Linked DNA regions of Macaca fascicularis. The protein of the gene in region 3 purifies or fractionates together with the protein of the main gene of each other region. This does not show direct contact. Links are inferred from orthologs where the notes say so. Each region holds a gene or a part of one and is shown on either strand. Other genes may lie near its edges. The genes, in order: C1QBP, GNAS and MAGED2.

Region 1 (6,985 bases), on a different chromosome or scaffold from region 3:
TGTTAGACCCCAGGTCTTTGTGCCTCCAGTGCCCCTGCTGTTTCCTGCTCCAGGCTCCGGCCGTGGTGGAAGGAAGCCATTTTCCATCAGCTTGTGTGGAAAGAGACACAGCAGGTGAAAGTTTAAATAAAACACCTCACTACTTCCTGTTGACTACAGGCGTATGTTTCCTTCTGTTCCAGCTCTCCAGCACTGGTTGCAGATGCTCAAATATGCAGTGCTTTCAGGCCTCTGTGCTGTTCATGCTGTTCTGTCTGAATGCCTTTGACTCCTCCCACTACATTTAAGCATCATTTGCACAGATATTTATTGAGCACTACAATATGCCATGTACTTCATTCACCTGATTCCTCACAAGGAATTGGCCAGTCTCAGCCAGGCACAGTGGCTCACACCTGTAATCCCAGCACTTTGGGAGGCTGAGGTGGGCAGATCACCTGAGGTCAGGAGTTCAAGACCAGCCTGGCCAACATGGTGAAAGCCCATCTGTACTAAAAATACAAAACTTAGCTGGGCATGGCGGTGGGTGCCTGTAATCCCAGCTACTCGGGAGGCTGGGGCAGGAGAATTGCTTGAACCCAGGATGCGGAGGTTGCAGTGAGCTGAGATTGTGCTGCTGTACTCCAGCCTGGGACACAGAGTGAGACTCTGTCTCAAAAACAGAATTGGTGGCCGAGTGAGGTGAGTCACACCTGTAATCCCCACACTTTGGGAGGCTGAGGCGGGCAGACCATCTGAGGTCAGGAGTTCAAGACCAGCCTGGCCAATATGATGAAACCCTGTCTCTACTAAAAATACAAAAAAATTAGGTGTGGTGGCACACGCCTGTAATCCCAGCTACTCGGGAGGCTGAGGCAGGAGAATCGCTTGAACCCGGGAAGCAGAGGTTGCAGTGAGCGGAGATTACGCCACTGCTCTCCAGCCTGGGCAACAAGAGCGAAACTCCATCTCAAAAAACAAAAACCAAACAAAAAAAGAATTGGCCAGCCTGAGAAGTCCGTTCCTTTAGAGTCTGTGTTCCCTTTTTCAACAAACCTAATGAGGGCTGGCAGAGGGGAATTGGCCAGTGTCTCCTTGGGCTTCCACCATACCTCATGCCGTGTCATCCATAACAGTGCTGCAGTTACCTGCCCATATCTGTCCTTGAGGGCATGGCCCATATTTATTTCTACTCCCAGCGCTTGGCCTATATTAATAAATACGTGCTTAATATGTTTGTACAGATGAGTTAAGGTGGAGGGAGGAGAGTTGAAGAGGGCACAGGTCAGCTGGCTTTGGCTTCTGTCTTAGTAAGGTGAACAGTGAGTCATCTACACAGATTATAATGGTAGCAGAGCTAGAGTCTACAGCTCCTCAAGTATGAAAGTCCCCTTGAGTGTGAAAGACCAAATGCTGGCGGGTGGACGAGAAGGGCAATTAAAGGGTAAGCGGAAGATTGCCTAATTGCCATGTGTACAGCTTCAGCTCAGCATATAATTATGGACCCCAGTTATCCACTCACCTAACCGTCAGTGTCCTGTGGCTCAGAGCAGCAGTGAAGCTAAGTGGGAGGTGAGGTTTGGAAGGTGAGTGCTGTGTAGCAGTCTTGGAGATCATAGTTGTCAGTGCTGGCTCTGGGGCGGGCAGGGAGACCATTGTTGGGTAAGTAAGGGGTGAGGGAGGCGGGGTTCACAGCAAACACGAGAAACACAGCCAGGCGCTGTGGTTCACACCTGTAATCCCAGCACTTAGGAAGGCTGAGGTGGATGGATCACTTGAGGCTAGGAATTCAAGACCAGCCTGGACAACATGGTGAAACCTGGTCTCTACTAAAAATACAAAAATTAGCTGGGCCTGGTGGCTCGCACCTGTACTCCCAGCTACTCAGTGGGAGGCTGAAGTGGGAGGATGGCTTGAGCTCAGGAGGTGGAGGTTGCAGTGAGCTGAGATGGCGCCATTGCGCTCCAGCCTGGGTGACAGCGAGATTGAGCCTCAAAAAAACAAACAAAAAACAAGAAACAGGAAGGGGAAAGACAAAATTGTATTCTGTAGGTTCCGAGTTCAACATTTGGAAAAGTAGACATTTGGAATGCTCTAGTTCCACTAGACCTTTGGTTTTCGCTTAAGGGGGACTCAAGGACCATTGTGTTAGAATTCAGTGAAGTCAGGATGTAGGGAGGCTCAGCACAGATGACTGAGGATGTGTTGGAAAATAGGGATGGGTTACAGAAGATGGCACTATATTACAAGACTTAGGAATATTTTGGATGTGACGGTGCTCAGGTGGTGGTCATGGGATAGAATATGCTAAACTACCTATTAGCAGGGTTATAGTGTCTTTTAGAGAAAGCCAAATATATTACCTGTGAAAGTGGTAAGAAACAAGGGTAACCTATTTATGCCTACTGTTTTGTTAGTGGAACGCTAAGCCTGGGGGAGTTATTGATCCCCTACTGCTCAAGGTCATCGCCGAGGTCTGATTTTTCACACAAAAAAATTGCAACCTCTGGCATAAATGGCTCAAGGACAGATGATTCCTTAGCATAGTGGAGGGGCTGAGCCACCAAGGAGTCGGGAGCCAGTTTTACACTTAGGTGCTTACTGATCATATTACAGATCGAGGGGAAGACATGTTTTCTGCCCGTACTGATCATGCATGGTTGGTACCTCCCCTGTGATACGTACCTGCTTCAATCTTGTGTAGACTTGGAGTCTCATCTTCCTGCTAGGCTCTAAAAGCTCCAAGCTACCAAGAGTTTGAATACAATCATACAATCTTTGTGGTCAGTAGTTTCCTGAGGTGAGGATGTTTGATTAGTTCCTCTGCAGATTTGATCTTAGCTTGAAGACTGTTGGTGCTGACGGTTTCCAGACAGCTGTTTGAAGGCTGCAGGACAGAGGTCCAGCAAAGCCAAAGAGGGGCAGTCGTCGGTGGCCTTCATGACAAATTACACGACCTAACTAATTCAAACTGGACTCAGGAGACCTCATCTAATGTGTAGCATTCTCATTGATGACAACTTTTAACGATGTATCACATGTCTTTCATGACTAGAATACAATTTAAGCTAATTCTTCTCCTGTTTAAACCTAGGCCTGTGATACCTGGGCTGTGATCCTCTAGAGCCAGCGTGGACTCACATCATTCTACGGGTTGAAGACCACTCACTCCCTGAGGAGCCTTGGACATACAAGCCTTTTATTTATAACTTATTTTGTATCGAAACTTTTAACCGATCCTGAAGGAAAAAAAACTTTTCCGACATCTCTGTTCTTGGTCTTTTGTGACGCAGGTTGAAGCGGGAGGAATAGAATAGATACACTGCTTTGGAGGAGATAAACCAATTTTATGTCTATCATGTTATACAAAAATCTAGAAATAATAGATTTGTACAGGAAAAATGATAATGAGAGCGCAAAACATATAATTTAAATTTGGTGTTTTTCCCCATGATATTAGGACGATAATCATTTCAAAGCAAATGTCTAGCTTCAGAGTAGGACTTGTTCACTGGCCAGAGCCTGCCATGAAACTAAGGCTTTCAGCGTCTGTCTGCTCTACTGGCTCTTGACAAATCTCTTGAGGTCTTCAAGAAAACTAATGTACTCCTGGTGCTCCAGGGCTGTGCTGAGCTCCACCAACTCATCTGCAAAAGTGTTGTCCACCCCTCGGTCCGCAAGGAAATCCATTAGGTGGTCATATAAGGCCTGCAAAGAACAACATTTACTAGTTTAAAAACAAAAAAAAATCTGTAATGAACATTAAAATGTTTCTTTCTCCCCTTGAACTAGGACCCTTCCTTCCACGGCCCAAAAGGTTCCCCCATCTTATCAAGCACTCACCCAGTCCAAGGAATCTGTGTTGAGTGTGTAATTAGTATCCTTCCATTCAGACTCGCCACTGGACTGAAAGCTAACTTCCCTGATAGAGAAGATGTCACTCTCAGCCTCGTCTTCTTGTCCAACCTGAGAAGAAACAATATTTGGGGAAACTGAAGGGTTCTCCAGGATAAGCCAGACTCATGCGAAGAAAGGGGGCCGCTGACAGCATGAAACTGATCAGGTTTTAACCCTCTTCCCTCACTCCCCTCCCCTCTCCCCCTGCTGGGCTGGTCTAAGCTAGAAAGTCTTTAAATTTATGCTAAAAGGGACAGGAAGTTCCCAAGGGACACGCTGTGCTCCCCAGGGGTGCCAAGGGGCTAGCACTCCATCCTACATACCTCATCCTCTGGATAATGACAGTCCAGCACAAGGGCCTTCTTGCCATCATTCTTTATAACTTCAACCACGAAATTGGGAGTTGATGTCAGTTCAGGCTGGGAAAACAAGAAGTCAGTACATGCCACTGCTGGAAGGAGATGGATGCCTGGATCAAGGATCTCTGTTCAGATTTCTCAGAGCCACCATTAGGATGTTATGTAGCCATTTTAATAGTCTTATGCCATACTATTCCCAAAGGAAGAGCTTGATCTCACTTCTGTTGGCACCCTGCTTGTTTAAGTAACACACTGGATTTTCAATTAAGAAATCTGGATACCAGCCGCCTCAGCTATGTGCCAATTAACTGAGTTTATATCAGTTCCTTAACATTCCAAGCCTTTTCCTCCACCCATACACTGCAAAGCTTTCCTAAAGTTTCAAGATTCCAGCTTGACTGTTCCAGGAGTCTTCAAAAGGGACCAGGGTCAAAGGCTGGGGAACCTGGCCATCTTTATGGCTGAATAACAGCAGCAGCTTTTCCTCTGATGTGGAGCTCTGGGAGCAGACTGGGTCCAATGTCAGAGAGATGCTAGTTGGGGTTGCTGGGAAAGAAGCACACCAGAGAGCTGTGCCATCCACACCAGGTCATGACCCAACACTGTACTGATGGCTTTTGGGCAGAAGGTCTAGGGACTCTGTGGCCCTCGTACTGGCTGGTTACCAGGCTGGGCACAGCACTTCCTAAAATGTCTGAAGAGTAGGCATGATCCAGTTAAAGTCTCTTATGCCCCTGGCATTCTTTTTTTTTTTTTTTCTTCGAGGCAGAGTGTTGCTCTGTTGCCAGGCTGGAGTGCAGTGGTGTGATCTTGGCTCATCGCAACCTCCGCCTCCCGGGTTCAAGCAATTCTGCCTCAGCCTCCTGAGTAGCTGGGACTATAGGCGCCTGCCACCACACCCAACTAAGTTTTGTATTTTTAGTAGAGATGGGGTTTCACCATGTTGGCCAGGATGGTCTCGATCTCTTGACCTTGTGATCTGCCCATCTCGGACTCCCAAAGTGCTGGGATTACAGGCTTGAGCCACCACACCTAGCCTGCCCCTGGCATTCTTATCTTGGTTAAATGGCTGTTGTGTATTACCAGCTTGTGACTGATATGTTAGGAACATTCCGCACATGCAAACACACCAAATGATAACCTCCAATATAAAAAATCTCCCCATAGGCCGGGCGTGGTGGCTCATGCCCATAATCCCGGCACTTTGGGAGGCCAAGGTGGCTGGATCACTTGAGGTCAGGAGTTTGAGGCCAGCCTGGCAACCACGGTGAAACCCTGTCTCTACTAAAAATACAAAAATTAACCAGGTGTGGTGGCACATGTCTGTAATCCCAGCTACTGGGGAGGCTGAGGTAGGGGAATCGCTTGAACGTGGGAGGTGGAAGCTGCAGTGGGCAGAGATCGTGCCACTGCACTCCAGCCTGGGCAATGGAGCGAGACCTTCTCTCAAAAACAACAAAACTCCCTATCATGGGAAAGGCTGAGAACATTTCATTTCCTTTCCAGCCAAACCACTAAGCCTGAGCTGGCAGACAGCAACGTATTTTGCCCCTGGGAAAAGGAAGAGGGCCACAGTCCTGTTAAAGCTGGCCAGAAACCACTGATTCCTCCTGCCTCAGCCTCCTGCATAGCTGGAACCACAGTCGTGCCACCATGCCCAGCTAATTTGTTTTTTTTTAAACTTTCGTAGAGGCAGGGTCTTGCCATGTTACTCAGGCTGGTCCTCCTGGCCTCAAGGGATCTTTCTACCTTGCCCTCCCAAAGTGCTGGGATTCAGGCGTGAGCCAAGCGCCTGGCCTTAGAGGAAAAAAAAATTTTTTTTTTTTTTAAAGAGCAAAGAAAAACGCTCCTTCTTTAAGTCCCAGGGACAGCCTGTCAGAACTGAGGTAAAAGCTGATCATAGTGTTAAGCTTACCTCCTGTTCTTCAACCTTCTGCTTTTGCGTGGGTTCCTCCTCACCATCAAATGTTGGTGGGATGCTGTTGTTAATGTTGAAAGTGACAATGATTCTAAAAGGGCAAGAGAAAACATAACAGACAAGGCATCATTTTAACTGAGTAGGTTAACACACAAACAGGGAGGTCTGCTACAGTTACAAAGGTGTACTGAAACAATGTCTCTATCCTAGCTGGCTGAATTATATGCAGAACTTCAAACAAGGCTGGTACCTACATCCAGTCCTGAGTGATTCAGCAGGTCTCAAGTGTGCCTACCATGTACCAGCTGCTGGAAGCCAAAGCTGGCCTCAGCTTATCTCAGCCAAACAAGTCATGCATGGGTTACTCCCAACAGGGCCAGTACCCCAGGGCTCACTGCCATGTGTTGACTGGGCATCTCATGGCCACAGCCAGCTGACACTGCCCACCCTGGTCTTTCCAAGGAACCCTTGGTGAAAGTAAGGACCTGGGAGGCTGGTGAGATGGAACAGAAGCCCCTTTAAGAGCCTTTCCCCATAAGAAAATTTGCCCTGCAAGGAAAGGAAGAAGGAGCAATGGAGGGTTGCATCTGTTAAACACGGAGAGCAGCCCTGGCCTCGGGAAGCGGATGCCTCACAAAGAAAAAAACGGCTGTAGTAGACAGTCATCCTTCAGAGTACTTGTGGGAAGTTTTATCATCACAAAGCAGGCCAGAGACACCAACTAGCGACAATTTTAAGGTGCAAGAATCCACACCTGAGAAATCATGTCCCAAAGTTTGAGTCAAAATTCCTGGGAGATAAAGTTTAGAACCAGAACTGCTGGACTATGCAA
Region 2 (8,178 bases), on a different chromosome or scaffold from region 3:
GTGACTGGTGAGGGCAGAGCCCTGACCTGGTAGGGAGGCAGGAGTATGGCCAGTGCCACGGTCTGTGGGAAGAGGCCCCACCCAACTACCTGGGTGTGGAATCCCATGGTGACCTGCAGGATTTTCGACGGGGGTCACAGGTCATGGACTCCTGATAACTGACATCATGGGAAGAACACCAGGAGACCTTTTTCTCTTTTCTCCTGCATCTTCCAGGACAACAGTATCTTGTAGGGACCAAGCAGTGGGCTTTGGCTACTTGAGTTTGAAGCCCATCTTCCCTTCTCACTAGAGACCTCTCTCGGGGCCTCTCTGGGCCTCGTTTACTCACTGTCAAAATAGCAGCTGAACCTATCCCATTGGGTAATGGCTAGCACTAGTAGATACCTGATAACTGTGACTTTTGTGGCCTTTCTTCTAGAAGATACCATGAAGTCTCTGTCAGTTATGACCAACAAGGTGGGGCTCTGTGGTATCATTTTCCTGGGCATCTCTATGGCCTGGGAATTTTGTGTTTTCTAATTTTGATGGATATGTGGCTAGAGCTGTGACAATCTCATGTGGATTATGCTTAGACGGTTCCAGAATTTCTGTGCAAAAGGGGCATACAGGTGGCCATCTTGGAAGAGGAGCTAGGGGCTGGTCTTGTGGTTGCACTTGATAGCCACTGTCCAGGTTTTAGGTGTTTATTTGGGGTGCTTTGGAGGATTATGGGAACTTGTAGGCTAGTCTTTTGGTTATATTTGCATAGCAAGCCCCAATTTTTACTTGGATTGTATATTTATTTGGGGGGTTTTGAGGGCTTTGTACTAAAAACTGCATAGCAAGCACACGTGGACTGAATGTTGTGTGAAAAATTGGATGGAAATGCAGGTATTTGCTACTTTTCTACCCCCCTTGGGGCTCATCGCTCGCCTCTGGTGAGCTATATTGTATGATTAATTTGGGTGAGAGTAATTTGATCTGGAAACTAGAATAGGAAGTGGATTTGGGGCCTGGATTACAGAATGAACTTGAAGTCCCATTTGCCCAGCTTCAGAGGGCACCATCGTTGATGCTGGTCACTTCCTCCCACCCTTCCTGGGAGCCACCCAGGAAGTGACCACGTAAGTGACAACACCTTGGGGGATAAGCCTAGGGGTGAAAGTCTAGGGAACCCACAGGACCTCAGAAATAAGCCACACTCCAACCCATTGAGTATGGACTCCCATCCTCACTCCCAATTATAGTGAATATTGTGAGTGATGGTCCACATATCCTGAGGTTTATTAGCTATTTGTATTTAAGTTGCATGCTTATATACTGTGCCCATTTTTCTGATGATATTGCTTATTAATTCATAAAAACTCTGCTTATTAAGTAAACCCTTTGTTAAATTTTTACCCAACCCAGGCCCTTCCCCCATTCAAATTTGAAGTGTGATTTTCATTTTTGTAGTCATCCCCAACCCCCTTAAGGCCTTTAGGTCTCAGGTTATGCTGCAGAGAGGCCCTTTATAAACCCAAGAGTTTAACTGTAAAATAGCCACTTTAAAAAGTACGTCTTTTATTTAGATGTATGTGATCAACTTGTCAAATTCATTTTGGTGTGTGCAATGAGGTAGGGATCCAGTCTAAATTTTCCCCAAATGGCTACACCATTTCTTGAATAACCCCATTGATTTGAAACACGGCGCTCCTATATTTCTCCACATCATTTAGTCCCTATCTTATAGCAAAAAATACACTACTTTTCTTAGGAAGCCTGGGTCAGCAGGCAAACTGTGTGATGATGTAATGGCATAAGTTGGCAGAATCTTTGGATAGGATGGCAGTGATCAAAATGTAGAGGTGACCGGGGCATAGTGGTCCACTATGGGGTAAAAGTTTGGGAGATCAACAGGAGTGGACTTTTCCTATTGTCTGAAAATTATTTCAAGACACCTACATTTTACAGTCACCAGAAAACATACAGTGGTGAGATTTTATACCCACTTCACCTTGGGGCCTCCCAACTTTTGATGTAAGGGCCAAGTCAAACCATGAATGACAGGAATCTGCGCAGAACCACAAATAACTCACGGGAGTCCCATCATTCTTTGCTCACATTTAATTTTTATTTTGATTTTTTTTAATGCTGCACAACACAATATTTATTTCATTTGTTTCTTTTATTTCATTTTGTTTGTTTGCTGCTGTTGTTTTATTTATTTTTATTGAAAGTCAGAGGGAACTTCTGTGGCCTTTTCTCCTTTTTCTGTAGGCCGCCTTAAGCTTTCTAAATTTGGAACATCTAAGCAAGCTGAAGGGAAAAGGGGGTTTCGCAAAATCACTTGGGGGAAGGGAAAGGTTGCTTTGTTAATCATGCCCTATGGTGGGTGATTAACTGCTTGTACAATTACGTTTCACTTTTAATTAATTGTGCTTAAGGCTTTAATTAAATTTGGGGGTTCCCTTCTTAGAGCAGCTCGTACTGACGAAGGTGCATGCGCTGAATGATGTCACGGCAGTCGTTGAACACACGGCGGATGTTCTCAGTGTCCACAGCGCAGGTGAAGTGAGGGTAGCAGTAGTGACGCCCATCTCCACTGGCAGTGCTGATCCTCTGCGGGTACAAACGCAGGGACTCGTCAGTGACACCCTCGCCAGGAACCACCCTATCACTGATGGGGACACCTACCAGGGACGGCTGTTGGCCAGTCTCTGATGTCATATGAAAACGAAAGCAAAAGGAGGGGTGCAAAGAACTCAAATCCACACTGGATGTGCGTGAACTAAAACCATGGACCTGGGTAGCTGAACCCCTGAAGTAAATTTACATCCATGAGAAAAAGAGGAGGAGCAAGAGAGGAAACTAAAGACAGGCTCAACTCACCAGAAACTCATCTCGAATGAAGTACTTGGCCCGGGTCACGCGTGGGTCCTCTCCGGGCTCGGGAGTAGCTATAAAAAAAAGGGAATATATATTAATGTAATTAAAAAGTCAAGCAGAGCTGGGGTGCTAGCATCATTGTAGCTCCTGAAGTCTTCAAAACCCTGATTTTTCCATATGAGAATTAATGCAAGTGTGTTTTTCTTGCTTCTCTTACAGATCCTTTATGGTTTGGTGGTGGGAGGGGGATGGCGGCTTTCAGCCCGACTGTTTGAAAAAGAACCACTGCAATGAACAGCCAGCAAAAGAGTGGAAGCCATACACACCATCCTCAGGAGTAGTGTAGCGAGCAAATTCTGGAAAGTAGTCCTCAATCTTCGATTTCCCAGCAAGGACTTTCTCAGCGAGCAGATCTTGCTTGTTGAGGAACAGAATCACAGAGATGGTGCGCAGCCATCTACAAGAAGGGAGGCCGTGTGAATGCCCGGGAGAAGCGCGCTTTTGGCCAGGGGTCTGGAATGCTTGCACAGGGTTCTTTTCTACAAACAGTGCAGACCAGGGCCTCCTGGGCAAGCGCAGGGGGTGGGCGGTCACTCCACAAACCTGTTGTTCCAGATGCTCTTGAAGAGGTTCAGAGCCTCCTGCAGGCGGTTGGTCTGGTTGTCCTCCCGGATGACCATGTTGTAGCTGCTGCTGGCCACCACGAAGATGATGGCAGTCACATCTTAACCAAAGAAAGCAAAGCCAAGAGCGTGAGCAGCGACACTGATCCCTAACAACACAGAAGCAAAGCGTTCTTCACGAACAGCCAAGCCCACAGCGTCCTACCATTGAAGCACTGGATCCACTTGCGGCGTTCATCGCGCTGGCCACCCACGTCAAACATGCTGGTGGAGAGGAAGACAGCTGGTTATTCCAGAGGGGCTGGGGTAAATGTCAAGAAACCATGATCTCTGTTATATAAAAAGGTAACAGTGGGCTTACTGGAAGTTGACTTTGTCCACCTGGAACTTGGTCTCGAAGATTCCAGAAGTCAGGACGCGGCAGCGAAGCAGGTCCTAGAACAAAATTGAGGTCAATGGATCTCAGCAAAGCCAATCGAAATAGTAATAATTTCCAATCTAAAGCAAAAGTCTGGGGTAGTTTGGGAAGAGGGCTCAGGGTCCTCTGGTGGTGAAGGGTTTTGCACACCTGGTCGCTCGGCACATAGTCAGCCTGCTTGATCACATCGATCTTGTCCAGGAAGCTGGGAGAAAAAGAAAGGCACATGGGGTGTTCACAGCGTTCACATTAATTTGCCAACTATTTGTGTCTCTCTACAAGGTCAGGCTCAACGGAAGTGACCGTCCCACAGTTATGCAGCACTAAGTCAATGGCATATTTGCTTGTGTGTTGGTTACATTTATAACTCAAAGCTGATGCCTTAAGAAAGTTAGGCCAAATGGGATTTAAGATAAATAATTTTAGGAATCAGGGAACTCTAGATGCGTCTAGCAGCTAGCCTGTGGCCTCGGTGCAGTGGGGCCACACAAACAGCACAGGACAGTGGTGGGGCTTTGTTCTTCATGTTTATTTTTTTCTATTTTTCTTTTTTCTTCTTTACTTAGCTTGTTTATTCCTGTTGCTCTCTGGTAATATTCTTGATTTTTAAAAGGTTTTATGCATATCAACCAGTAGAGAAAGGACCCCAAAACCAGGCTGACCTATCACAATCTGTGCCATTTGGTAATGCTTGACAAAAACATTTCAATTTTCAAATTTCCTGCCTAAAATGGCAGTTTGAAAATTGTATACCTCTGTATCATTCAGTTAAAAAAATAAATAAATAAAGTGACATTCTTAAAAACATCAAGGACTTTCTCCTCAAGGGCACATGAGATTGTTTTAGTTACTGAGAATCTATAGCCCTTCCTTTTCACTTTTTAAGAATCTCATTGATTAAAGGGAACAAAAGAGGTTGGCACAAAGGGGCCTTCTCGCCCTAGCCATCCTGAACAGGAAACAAACACAAAGTTCTCTTCCGTTCTGTTTGGTCCATGAAATAGAACGCTCCAGATATTAAACTTTTCATTTAAAAAGCATCTTGTTTGTGTTGCTTGACTAGACACACAGGAAAATTTACTTTTGAAAGATTGGGGTAATTTAATTAATACAGAAAATGCTAAAACCAGTTTATTTTTTGGAGGGAGAGGCATGTAGAGATTGGAATTGTTTTAAAGTGGGCTAATGAGAAAAGAAAATCATAAAGAGAGAAAAGTCTGTTTCAAGAAACTGCCTAAGTTTTGTGTTCCCCTCTTCCTTTTTACTAGTTCAGGGTTAGTCTGGCTTAGAGGATATACTAACTTGCCCAATCAATCTTACATTACAGCACCAGTCCAGAAATAGCTCCCCAGCCGCCCTGGCCTCCAGCATGTTACCATGGCAACAGAACCACAGTTCTATAAATAGATCATCAGCACCAAATCTTGTGAGAGAGACATCTGGAGTGGAGCCAGCCAAACCCCAGCTCAACAAATAAAAATAGGCAGCTTAAGAAATGGGCACGGTACCAGTATCCCAACTTTAACATAAAGGCAGTTCAACAGAAACGTGCCGGCCACGGCAGATGCAGGGCTGTTTGAGCCAGCGGTGAGGGAGGACATTTTAAAGGTTTTAAGCTGCGTTGTTCTCTTTTTCTCTGAGTTTCCTTACAACTTTTCATGATCTATACAAATGGTGCAGTTTTCAGACAAAGTTTCAGGAGTAATTGAGTGTTGCATTAAAAAACCCCAAAAACTTCTAAATGATTTGAGAGAGAAAATGAAACCCAACAAACTTCAACCACCTGGCTAAGCTACTGTTAATTAATGCAGCTGTGACTCCCTGCCCCCCAGCATTCAAAACTGGGATGGTTAAACTCTCCTAATCTTGTACCTGTACTTCACTTCTGACTTGGATCCAAAATACAAAATGCAAACAATTCCAGGATTTCCATTTGTTTTGCGTTACTATAATTAGCGCTTCCAGCTTTTAGTTCGAACTTTTGAGAAAATCAGGGACTTTGTTGAAGAAGGAGTGGGGGCTGGGGGCCACAGGGACCAGCCAAGATGGACTGTTTTTCTGTTCCTTGAAAAAATATACAAATTTGCTTGTATATTAAACCGTGGAATATCTGTGTATGTGGCAACTGAAAATAATCAAAGGAATTTCCTATGGGAAGGCAGGGCTGGGGTTGATAGATTGCACAGACCCTAACATAGGCTTATATGATTTATAGATAAACAGTATTACCTCTTCCTCCCTCCTGTTTATTCAGGTGGTTTTCACAATCAGTTCCTTGGGCTTGAGGCTACTAAGTAAAGCAATCTTAGCCCTTGGTGAGTCAGCCTGGCACCTTGGTTCTGATTAGTTAATACTTCCTATAGCAAAATCAGTTCCGAGTTTCAGCTACTTGTAATAAGGACAGCTAAAACATCAAACCTCTACTAGACTCCCCTGTCCCGAGTCACAAGACACTCCTACTTCATAATATTAACTGAGACTGCTTTGTGCATTTGTGCAGCATCAACAAACAAAAGATATCTTTACATTTTTGGCTGGGCGCGGTGGCTCACGCCTCTAATTCCAGCACTTTGGGGGGCCAAGGCAGGCAGATCACAAGGTCAGGAGTTCGAGACCAGCCTGGCCAATATGGTGAAACCCCATCTCTACTAAAAATACAAAAATGAGCTGGGTGTGGTGGCGGGCACCTGTAGTCCCAGCTACTCAGGAGGCTGAGGCAGGAGAATCACTTGAACCCAGGAGGCAGAGGTTGCAGTGAGCCAAGACTGCACCACTGCACTCCAGCCTGGGCAACAGAGTGAGACTCCATCTAAATAATAATAATAATAATTATCTTTACATATTTTTTAAATAACCCTGACCACCATATGCTTGCTATATCATGTGCAAGATGAGGGAGGCCATAAACTATTTAAAAGGCAACTTTCTAGCTATGGGGTGTGATGTCCTCTGGGAGAGACCATGGTGGGTGACAGGGACAGAAGGCAATCCCTGAGGGAACGGTAAGTCAGGTGTTAGGCAACAAGAGTAGCAGCGTGGGCATCAGGTGGAGTTGTGCAATAAAATCTGTTTCGTAAGTTTCCCCCTTCTTCATTTACCAACACACTAAGCAGGCGAGCCCACCTTTATGAGTGACTTTGGAGAAAGAGGACTTTCCCATTGCTACTGCAGGCCTTAACCCATCCTCCTTGCAGGTAGTAATTTATTTGAAAATGACCCCACCACGGTACTGTACTGCTTAGGTGTACAGTTTAGGATTTAAAATACACTGACTACTTACCATCCTTGAAATCAAGAGCCGGGGGGAAGGAATAAATAAGGACATGAAATAGAGTTCAAAAGTCAAGACAACACAAAAGCAAACTCTACCTAGAGTCACTCAGATCTAGTAACACTAGGCAGCTACTGGAGTCTCTTACCTGAGAGCAGAAATAGAGCAATCAACAACTACCAGTGAGAGAGGAGGCGTAGCTGTCTTCACTGTTCCTCTTTGTTATGTTTTAAAATTACAGCAATAAAATGTAGTATTTTTACATTATTCAAAATGTGAGAACTGCCCTATTTCTGTAAATGCTTTGAGTCAATTCAATTAATTACTTCCCAGTAATTAGGAATACTATGAAACTCATCATCATCTTGCTCTAACAGACATTCAATGTTTATATAAAATAATGTCCCTGCACTAAAAAAAAAAAAAAAAAATGCAATTAAGGACTTTATAAAACAATTCAATCAGATTCGAACTTTCTGCCAGTGGGGTAACTGGTTGGCTTCTACGAAAGGAATCATCGACAAGTAGCTTTCCAAGCAGGATCACAGGTTTGCATGTTTTCTTGTGTCTGCCTGTTTTATGTGCCGGTGGGTCGGGTGGGGTTACTTACTACTGGGCACAGTCAATCAGCTGGTACTCGTTGGAGCGTTCATAGCAGGCACGTACTCCTTCGTCCTCCCACAGAGCCTTGGCATGCTCGTAGAATTCCTGAAAGTGAACACAAGAAAGTTGAGAGAAAGACAAGAACTTGAACTAATCAAGGACACTGTCATTCGAACCCCGAGACCAGAGTTCCCTATGTGACCGACACTTGGTGTGATTCTGAATTTTGAGCCCAATTAATGAATTAATGCTCACAAAGAACTTTAATTCAACACGTTAAACATATTCAAAAGTTCATGCAATTAGCTGCTGGTCTTATTGTGAATTACTGGTTTTGGGTAGTTTCTTTTTGTGTGTGGGGGGGGAATGGGGGGAGCTACTGAGTAATTTAGTTTCTTTACAGAATTGTTTAG
Region 3 (8,289 bases):
CCCACTGACACTCCTGCGCTTCATGCATCCTGATCCACCCACACCAGGAAGCCCTCCTTGAGAACCACTCTGCCAAGGCCAGGCCAGGCACCCAGTAGGAAGAGGCAAGCAATGACAGGCCTGCTTTCCTGGGAAGCTTCTACAGAAACAGCAAAGCTGACAGCAGGAATGTCCCACCTCAGGCTCCTACACCCTTCAGTCAATCATAATCAGGCATCACTACTGTGAGCAGGGCTCCAACTATGCATGGGAACTGGGACGGGGCTTTTGAGTCCCTGCCTTTCCTGACTCTCTAAGAGGATGGGGGAAGTAGGACAAAGAAGGGGTAGCAGCACATGGCCAAAGCAGAAACCCCCCACACCTCAGCCCTTTCCCAGCTTACGTTCCCAGTATGCCCGCATCAGTGGGCTCCAAGGTGCTGAGAAGAATGTACAAGTGGTCATTCTTATCAATTTCCTTCAATTGAATCCCAAATACCTGTGGATGGGAAGAACAGCTTGTGAGATGACAAAATTCAGCTTCTGGGGCATGCTGCAGCTCCCTATGTACCTAGGAGTTTTGCATGTGTGAGAAATCAGTGAGGTAATGCACACAAAGTACATAGCTAAGTGCCTGGCACCCAGTAAACATGCAGCAAATGTACTATTGTCATTATCGTCTTTGCGATGAGTGGGAATCTAGGGAGACAGAGAATGGGGAATGAAAGGGAGAGGTGAAATCTGAAATACATGGCATGAGCTGTGGACAGAAGCCAGGACTAAGTTGGGTGCCTTGGGTCCTAACTGTACTTTTACCATTGACTTGCTGTGTGACCCATCGCTCATCTACACCCCTCCCTAGGCCATTGTCTGCCCCTCAGCATAGTGATGGAGCTAGATTAGCAGGTCTCTCTGGTTCCCCTGAGAAGGAACTTGCACATTTTTGTTCAATTCAAGGCTTCCCCACTGTGCCCATCCCCCAGGGCTGCCCCTTCACCTTCTCCAAGGAATAGCCTGCTCGTTCAATGATTTCAGGGTACACATCAGTGTATTCTTTGATGATGTCCTTCAGCATGTCTGCAAGGGGAAAGTGGTGTAAGCACCTGACTGAAGAGATGCCAGGTGGCCCTGATGCCCAAGCTATAGACTCTTTGCCAACCACACCAAGGGTGGCATAACCAGGTTCTGCGCTTATCAACAGAGATGCTAGCACTGCCAAATTAGAACTTTGGGAGGACAGAGATATAAGCATAAGAGCAGCAGATATCCCCAGCACAATGATGCAAGGGCAATGGAGGGCAGAGCTTAGGGTAGAGGGAGGATTGGTAGGACTTTACCTGAGCGCTTGATGGGAATCTTCGTCTGGTCTTTAGCCAAAAGGTACTTCACCAAATCATTTGCCTGGCAGAGTAGAAAAAGATGGAAAGACCAAAACAAGTTTGCTGAAAACTTGAGACGATGGCAAAGAAAAGGGCAGCCAAGGCAGTAGAAAAGGCAGAGTAAAAAGGACAGAGTTCTTACCCTCCCTTGCAAAAGGGCCACATCCCGAGGTGGTGGTGCTTCAGGCTCTTGGGATGACTGGAGCTTGGCAGCTCTACGGCGAGCCTTGCCCCTACGGGCTTTAGGTGATCTCAGGGAGAGCAAGGCTCTCCGGGCCCAAGCAGCCAACCGAGTCCTTGATGCCCTGCGGGCCCAAAAAGCTATGGGACCCCTTGAAGCCCTGCGGGCCATTGAGGCCATTAGGGCCTTTGAGACCCTTCGGCCACCTGTGGTTCCAGAAGCCTGACTCTGATCACTGCTGCCATCCTCTTCCCCATCCAGATGCTTCACCTGCATCAACAGAAGCTCAACATCACCAGATGAAACAGGTGGTCCTTTTCCTCTCCCTATCTCTTCCAGGAAGCACCCGCCAATCCCGTCCCTGTAGTAACAGCCCGACTTAATAGATGTTGGCTATGCTGAACCCTGGGTTTGTTTCTCACTGACTTCCAAGCAAGTGTTTCATCTGCCTAGCAGGCCAGGAGCAAACCAAGGGTGGGTGGAGGCTGAGTCTTCTTCTCTTTCTGTGCCCACTACTGGCTCTGCTTGAACCATCCCTAGAAAAACTGCTTCACCTCTCTGGAACTCAGCTTCCTTCTCTATAAAATTGGGGCTATGAGAATTACTTTCAGGATTTAATGAGATAACCTGCATAAATGTGCTTAGCTCAAGGCCTAACACAGGGCAGCTACTATGTAAATATAAACTGCATTATATTCAGATTGCAGCTATGTGTATTCCTGTCTCATCTCCCCATCAGTCTGCAAGCTCTCTGAAGACAAGAATTACATCACATTACTTTCAGTGCCCCCCACAGCCCTGATGAGCACAGGGATCTTTCGAAATGTTTGTAGAACAAATGAACCAACTGAGAGGAGAGGAGTAGAAAACGAAGGGTGGTGACTGCAGAGGTCTTACCTTTCGGGCTTTCTTGGCTTTGACCTTGGGCCGAGTATCCTGATTCTCCTGAGACTGGGCAGCTGCACTCTCAGGCTCAGGTTCATCTGCTGGGGCCTGAGAGGCAGCAGCCTCAGTCTCCTGGGCCTTAGTATTGACCTTCGTATCAGCCACACAGCTGACCTTTTTGGTCTCGGTGGCAGGCATTGTCACAGCCTGCGGGTCAGCATTCTGTTTCTTGGTGTCAGCTGCTAGACTCTTGTTTTCAGCTGCCAGAACCTGGGTATCAGTCAGCTGAGTAGTAGATGAGGCCTGGGTGGCAGGTGCCTCCTGAGCCTCTGGGGTCTTTGAGACCTCTGTGGCCTTTGAGACCCCAGAGGTTTTTGAGACCTTCACATCCTCTGAGACCTCCGGTGCCTTTGAGGCCTTCGGTGTCTCTGGGACCTCCACATTCTGGGTCACTGTCAATAGAGTCTGCATCATCGAGCTACTGTCCTTTTCTGAAGCTTCAGCCTGCAAGAGGAAGCAGGGAAGTTCACAGACCTTCTCCCCACCCCCAACTAAGCAAATGGTTCCAAAATTCCAAGGCCACACTTCTCTGACCTGTACTCGTACCTGCGGTGTGCTCTGACCACCTCAGCCGAACAAGGCCTCCCTTTCCTCTGAGCAAGAACTGAAGGCAGAAGAGGGGCCCGCCCACCTTCTCTCCCTCCCTCCACTGGGCAGGGGGACACCCAGGCAGGAAAGTAGGTGGAGAAGGACAAGGATGGGAGGAGAAGAGCCAAGGGACTTAGGGCAGCAACAAGGGCTGGAGAGGAAAAGCAGCTGGGGAAAGGACAGAAAGAGGCCTTACCTGGAAGCTAGTTAGACCCGCACCACTCTCGCTTGTGTCAGACATGTCTCAATTTGGCCTGGCAAGAGCTGAGCCTGAAGAGGAGAAGGCCTGGGTCAAGTTGAAGCCCACTGAACGTCCTCTCCCCTGTTGTGCCTGGAGGCTGATCCTTACCTTCCGTAGGTCCCCAATTCCAACCCCCTCCACCACCCACAACGACTCCGTTCTCAGATACAGGAATCCAAAGCTTCTAAGTCTCAATTGTCTGCAGCCGCACCCTCCCCTTCTCCAGGAAGATGTGCCAGCGCGGCAGCTCTGAGGACCCCGCCCCTTTTCCCAGTGCACCCCCCACCCAGCCGCAGGTCGATAGAGCGCATGCGCGTCGGCTGCAGGGCCGCTCTCAGCCCCGCCCGCTTTCCCAGCACGAGCCCTTTCTTTGATGTCCACCGTGCACATGCGCATTCAGCAGCTGGCTCGTCTCAGTGCTGGCCCTTCTCAACACGCCCCTTTCAGCGATACATAGTGCGCATGCGCAATGATCGTGGTCTCAGTCTGGCACTCTGCCCCGACACACGCCCCTCTCCAGGTCCGCAGTACCATTCGGTCCCGCCCCCTGCCCAAGAAGCCTTCCTCCAAAATTGTCGCAGTGTCTGGTGGGCCCGGCCCCTCCCCTACTCACGCCCTACCGAGTCCAGTGTCTCTTGGCCCCGCCCTTCTTCCTAACACGCCCCCCTCCAAACAGGCGCATCTTGGTTCCGCCCCTTCCCTATTACACCCCCTCCTCAAATAAATATTAAGCTAGTGATTCCATCTTGGGCCCGGTCAAACCGGGTCCAGTCCCCTCCCTTCCCAGCCGGATGGATCCGGTACGATCCGATCCTCATGACAGGTTTTCTCCAGATCCCAGAGGGTGCGGCCGACCCCTAGCGGGGCTCTCATCCAAAAGCCCGCCCGGCTGCTCACCTCGTCCTCCTACAATTCCCGAGAGCGTCCACTCACTCCAAGCCCCTCCGAAACTCAGAGACTGCCCTCCCTTCTCTAGGCCGGAAGTGGTCCCGCCCCTTTCCGCCTCCCTAGGGGGCCTCCGTCCCAGCCTGTCTGCCCCTCCCCCGCTCCCTGCTCCTCATTCCTTATGCCCCCCTCCGTATTCCCTTAGCCTGGCTCCTTACTCCCTATTCCCACCTCACATTTTCTATTTACTCCAGAATTCCCTCTTCCCATTCCTTACATCCTCCTCCGTGTTACGATTGCACACCCTGCCCCTCAGTATTCCTTAACCTCTCTCTGCATCCCCATTCTCTTCTCTGGATCACTCCCCCTTAGTGTTCCCCTCCCTCCTTGTATTCCTCGTCCCCCTCCCAACATTCCTGGTTCCCCGTTTTTCTCCCCTCCTCCTCCGCTCGTCTCTGCTCCCAGTCTATACAGCCTACCACTTTCTCAGTCGTCCTCATTGCCTACACACCACTCCAGGTCACCTCTGCTTCAGCTGCAGTGGTGCAGTAAGAATTGCTCATCTGCCTGGCTATGGGTTCGAGGGGTCTGGAACCACTCTATGACCTCCATAAAACCCCAATCTCAACGCACCTCACCTTGTCCTCCAGCGAGTTCGGGATGCGTCTGCCTTCTCTAAGTCCCTCTCGAAGTCTCAGCCTCCTGGACTAGAGCTGCAGACAGCCCAACCCAGCCCAGCCCCTTTCCGCAGCCCCCTGCCACCCCCCCTCGCCTTCCTCGGGGGTGGGGCAATGGGGCCCTGCTCAGGGCTGTCTGACGCCAAAGCCCATGTTTATGCCACTGTACCAGGCTCAGTCTGAAACTCTTCCAACCCAAACCGCCCCCGAAAGAAAGTCATTCATTGAATTTCTTTTTATATCTTCATTTTTTCTTATTACAAAGGTAATATGTTGTTGTTTTGTTGTTGTTGTTGTAAAAATTAAAACAATGCAGTAATATATAACATACCAATGAAAGGCCACTCTTATCTCCCAGAAATAACCACTATTAACATTTTGCTATCCAGATTTTTTTTCTATTCGTATACTAATTATTCAGGTTCTCTCTCCGACAAATGGTACACTATACATACCTTCTGTTCTGCGACCTGTTTTTTTCCAGTTATATATAAAAAATCTTTCCGTTAGTGCACATTTTTCTAAACAGTTGCATGATCTTTTCTTGTATAGATGTCCCATAATTTATTGAACCAGTCCAGCACACATGTACATTTAGATTGTTTGGGGCACTTTTTTTTTATTTAGGGTATTTTTTGCTAGCTCAAATGCTACAAAAACGTCTTCCATTTTGATAACAAAAGATACAAAATTTGTCAACTTACTCCTAAAAAGTACATGGAATAACGTTCCCACCAGCAATGTCTCTCGTGTACGTGTCACATATTACAAATATTTTTCATGTTATTTATGATAATTTTTGCCAAACAAAAATGTTTAATTATTATGTAGTCAAATATATCCATTTTTCCTTCATCACAACTGGATCCTGCTGCTTGCTTAAAGATGCTTTTCATGTTCCTATAACAATCCCCGTTTTTTTTTCCTTGAAGCACTTTTGTGGCTTTATTATTTACATTTAGATGTTTGATCATTTCAAAATTTATTTTCTATACGGATTCAGCTTGATTACTCTCCAAAATCATAGTCTCTTACCCCTACATCATGTGCAAACTAATCCATCTTTTCCCTCTCTGCTTTGAAATGGCACCTCTATCACATAATAAATTCACATAAGCAATTGGATCTATTCAAGAAAACAAAATAAGATGTAAAATAATAGGAAGTAGACAAATCATCATTAATTACTGGATATATAAATGCAGACCTGGAAAACCCAAGAGCATCAACTAAAAAGTTATTAGAAACCATAATAAAATTCAGCACAACGGTTAGTTGTGGAAATAATATTCAATGCCTTTCCACATATAAATGTAATTCAAATGGACACAAGTCTCCTGCTTTATGTGGTCACCTTTTACTGTGTAAATAACATATCATGAATCCCTATGTTCTATGGATAATTCAAGATAGACACACACACAAATTTCTTGCATATTCAAGGCAGGCTTCTGTTTTCCTGTCTTTTCTCTTTCTCTGAATTGTTGCTTTCTCCAAGTGTGTGATATCAGTTCACCATGTTCTTGCCTCCCAGATTTTCTCCCTTATCCACACTAGACATAGCGCCTCCTTTTCTTCTATTTCTGGCATCTCAAATTCCCAATCCCTTCCAAATCGTGGCAAGTTGGCAAGTTTTGAATGCCAAGATAAGGACTTTGGTCTTGATCCTGAGAACACCCAGGAGTTATTAAAGGATTCTAGGCAAGGATACAGCATAGGTTTGTGTTTTAGAAAGAACACCTTGCTGCTATATGGAGTATGGAATAGGTGTTGTCTTGGAAACAGGGAGAGTACTTATGCCTTTTGTAGTCATCTAGGTAAGCAATGATTGTGCTTTGACCTAGAGTGGTGGCAGGTAGTGAGAAGTGATTGAATCGAGGAGATAGTAAAGAAGTAAAAAGTAATTGGACTTGAGTAACTGAAGACGAGTGGAGTGTCAAAGGGAACTCTTGGCGATCTGATTTGAGAGATTGTGTGAATGGTAACTCCTCTCACTGAGATCAGGAATACTGAAGGAAGAGCGGGTTTGAGGAGCAGGTTAGAGGAGAACTGAACATTGCTTTTAAGGCACCTGTGGCATGTCCATATGGAAATGTACCACAGGCAGTTGAATATACATGTCTGAAGCTCAGAGAAGTGGTCTAGGCTGAGGCTATAGATCTAGGAGTCATCAGTACATAAATAGTTCTTTAATTCATGAGAAAGGGCAACAGCACCCTGGTGAATGCACAGTGCTAGAAGAGACATGGGCCCACGGAAGAGCCCTGCAGCCCAAAAGCACCTTTGGTATAGGTGGAGGAAAAGGAACTCATGAAAGAGATTGATAAGGAGTGACCAAAAAGGCAGAGAGAAAAACAGGAGAGGGCCGGGTGTGGTGGCTCACACCTGTAATCCCAGCACTTTGGGAGGCCGAGGTGGGAAGATCACCTGAAGTCAGGAGTTCAAGACCAGCCTGGTCAACATGGTGAAACCCCATCTCAACTAAAAACACAAAAAATTAGCTGGGTGTGGGGGAGCACACCTGTAGTCTCAACTACTCGGGAAGCTGAGGCAGGAGAATAGCTTGAACCTGGGAGATAGAGGTTGCAGTGAGCCGAGATTGTGCCATTGCACTCCAGCCTGGGTGATAGAGCAAGACACCATTAAAAAAAAAAAAAAAAAAAAAAAAAGGAGAAAGGAGTGTCACAAAAGTAAGGAAAGAGATTGTTTCAAAAGGAGGGAGGAGTCAAGGTCAATAGTGATGAATGTTGCCAAGAATCAAGAAAAGTAAGACCTGAAAAAATGTCTGGGGATTCTGACGATCAAGTGGTGGTCTCTGGTGACCTTGGAAGGAATAGCTTCAGTGCACATGTTTGTGGCATAGATTGCTAATTGCTTACCCTGATATCCATGCTCTTCTTCTTCCTTAGTAATAAGCCATCTGATTTTTAGCTAGATACATAGCCTCCCAGAATAAAGGCCATGAGGACTAGGGTCACACTCTAAAGATACTGGATTAATAAACTAAAAAGAACCTGGATCCATAACAATTTCATGAAGCCAACGTGAACTGCCTACCTCTGGGTTTCTTTTAGGTGAGGCAAATAGATATATGTCTTATTTAAGCCATTGTTATTTCAGAGTCTATTCCATGCAGCAGTTTCCTGATTACAGTGAGTTGAGATATGAATAGCAGGTGAGGTATTCATGACAATGGGTATGGAATGCTTTCCCAAGAAACGCTTGAGTTTGATTTCAAGGCTCTCCCAAAATCCAGCCCTGACTGAGTTTCCAGCCTTTTTCCTGCTGTTTTTCTGAAAGTACTAGATATAGTTGCCTATATTCCACCTAAACAGAACACTTCACTATTACCAGATATGCCCTGCCTTCTCTTGCCTAGCAGCCTTTGTTAAGCAATTTTGTCCCCATGGGGAAG

Evidence for each region.
Region 1: the proteins of MAGED2 (region 3) and C1QBP purify together in Homo sapiens (affinity purification with mass spectrometry; 3 studies listed by BioGRID and IntAct, counting the BioPlex papers as one, with this or other methods). This does not show direct contact. The link is inferred for Macaca fascicularis from reciprocal best matches to the Homo sapiens genes MAGED2 and C1QBP.
Region 2: the proteins of MAGED2 (region 3) and GNAS purify together in Homo sapiens (affinity purification with mass spectrometry; 3 studies listed by BioGRID, counting the BioPlex papers as one, with this or other methods). This does not show direct contact. The link is inferred for Macaca fascicularis from reciprocal best matches to the Homo sapiens genes MAGED2 and GNAS.

Annotation. Positions count from the first base shown.
Region 1 is NC_088390.1:5,494,884-5,501,868, forward strand, and holds the end of C1QBP (complement component 1 Q subcomponent-binding protein, mitochondrial), read right to left. Parts: intron 6,245-6,985; coding exon 6,151-6,244; intron 4,296-6,150; coding exon 4,200-4,295; intron 3,946-4,199; coding exon 3,823-3,945; intron 3,768-3,822; exon of another isoform or gene 3,688-3,767; coding exon 3,538-3,687; 3' UTR 3,306-3,537; downstream 1-3,305. Other genes in the region: RPAIN (RPA-interacting protein), read left to right, coding at 3,074-3,103.
Region 2 is NC_088384.1:114,959,903-114,968,080, reverse strand, and holds the end of GNAS (guanine nucleotide-binding protein G(s) subunit alpha isoforms XLas), read right to left. Parts: intron 7,871-8,178; coding exon 7,773-7,870; intron 4,097-7,772; coding exon 4,042-4,096; intron 3,909-4,041; coding exon 3,835-3,908; intron 3,738-3,834; coding exon 3,679-3,737; intron 3,575-3,678; coding exon 3,454-3,574; intron 3,308-3,453; coding exon 3,177-3,307; intron 2,922-3,176; coding exon 2,854-2,921; intron 2,584-2,853; coding exon 2,437-2,583; 3' UTR 2,074-2,436; downstream 1-2,073. UniProt on the Homo sapiens protein: Guanine nucleotide-binding proteins (G proteins) function as transducers in numerous signaling pathways controlled by G protein-coupled receptors (GPCRs).
Region 3 is NC_088395.1:54,794,595-54,802,883, reverse strand, and holds the start of MAGED2 (melanoma-associated antigen D2), read right to left. Parts: upstream 4,894-8,289; 5' UTR 4,831-4,893; intron 4,266-4,830; exon of another isoform or gene 4,210-4,265; intron 3,573-4,209; exon of another isoform or gene 3,421-3,572; intron 3,342-3,420; 5' UTR 3,313-3,341; coding exon 3,268-3,312; intron 2,928-3,267; coding exon 2,436-2,927; intron 1,809-2,435; coding exon 1,500-1,808; intron 1,380-1,499; coding exon 1,316-1,379; intron 1,056-1,315; coding exon 976-1,055; intron 478-975; coding exon 383-477; intron 1-382. UniProt on the Homo sapiens protein: Regulates the expression, localization to the plasma membrane and function of the sodium chloride cotransporters SLC12A1 and SLC12A3, two key components of salt reabsorption in the distal renal tubule.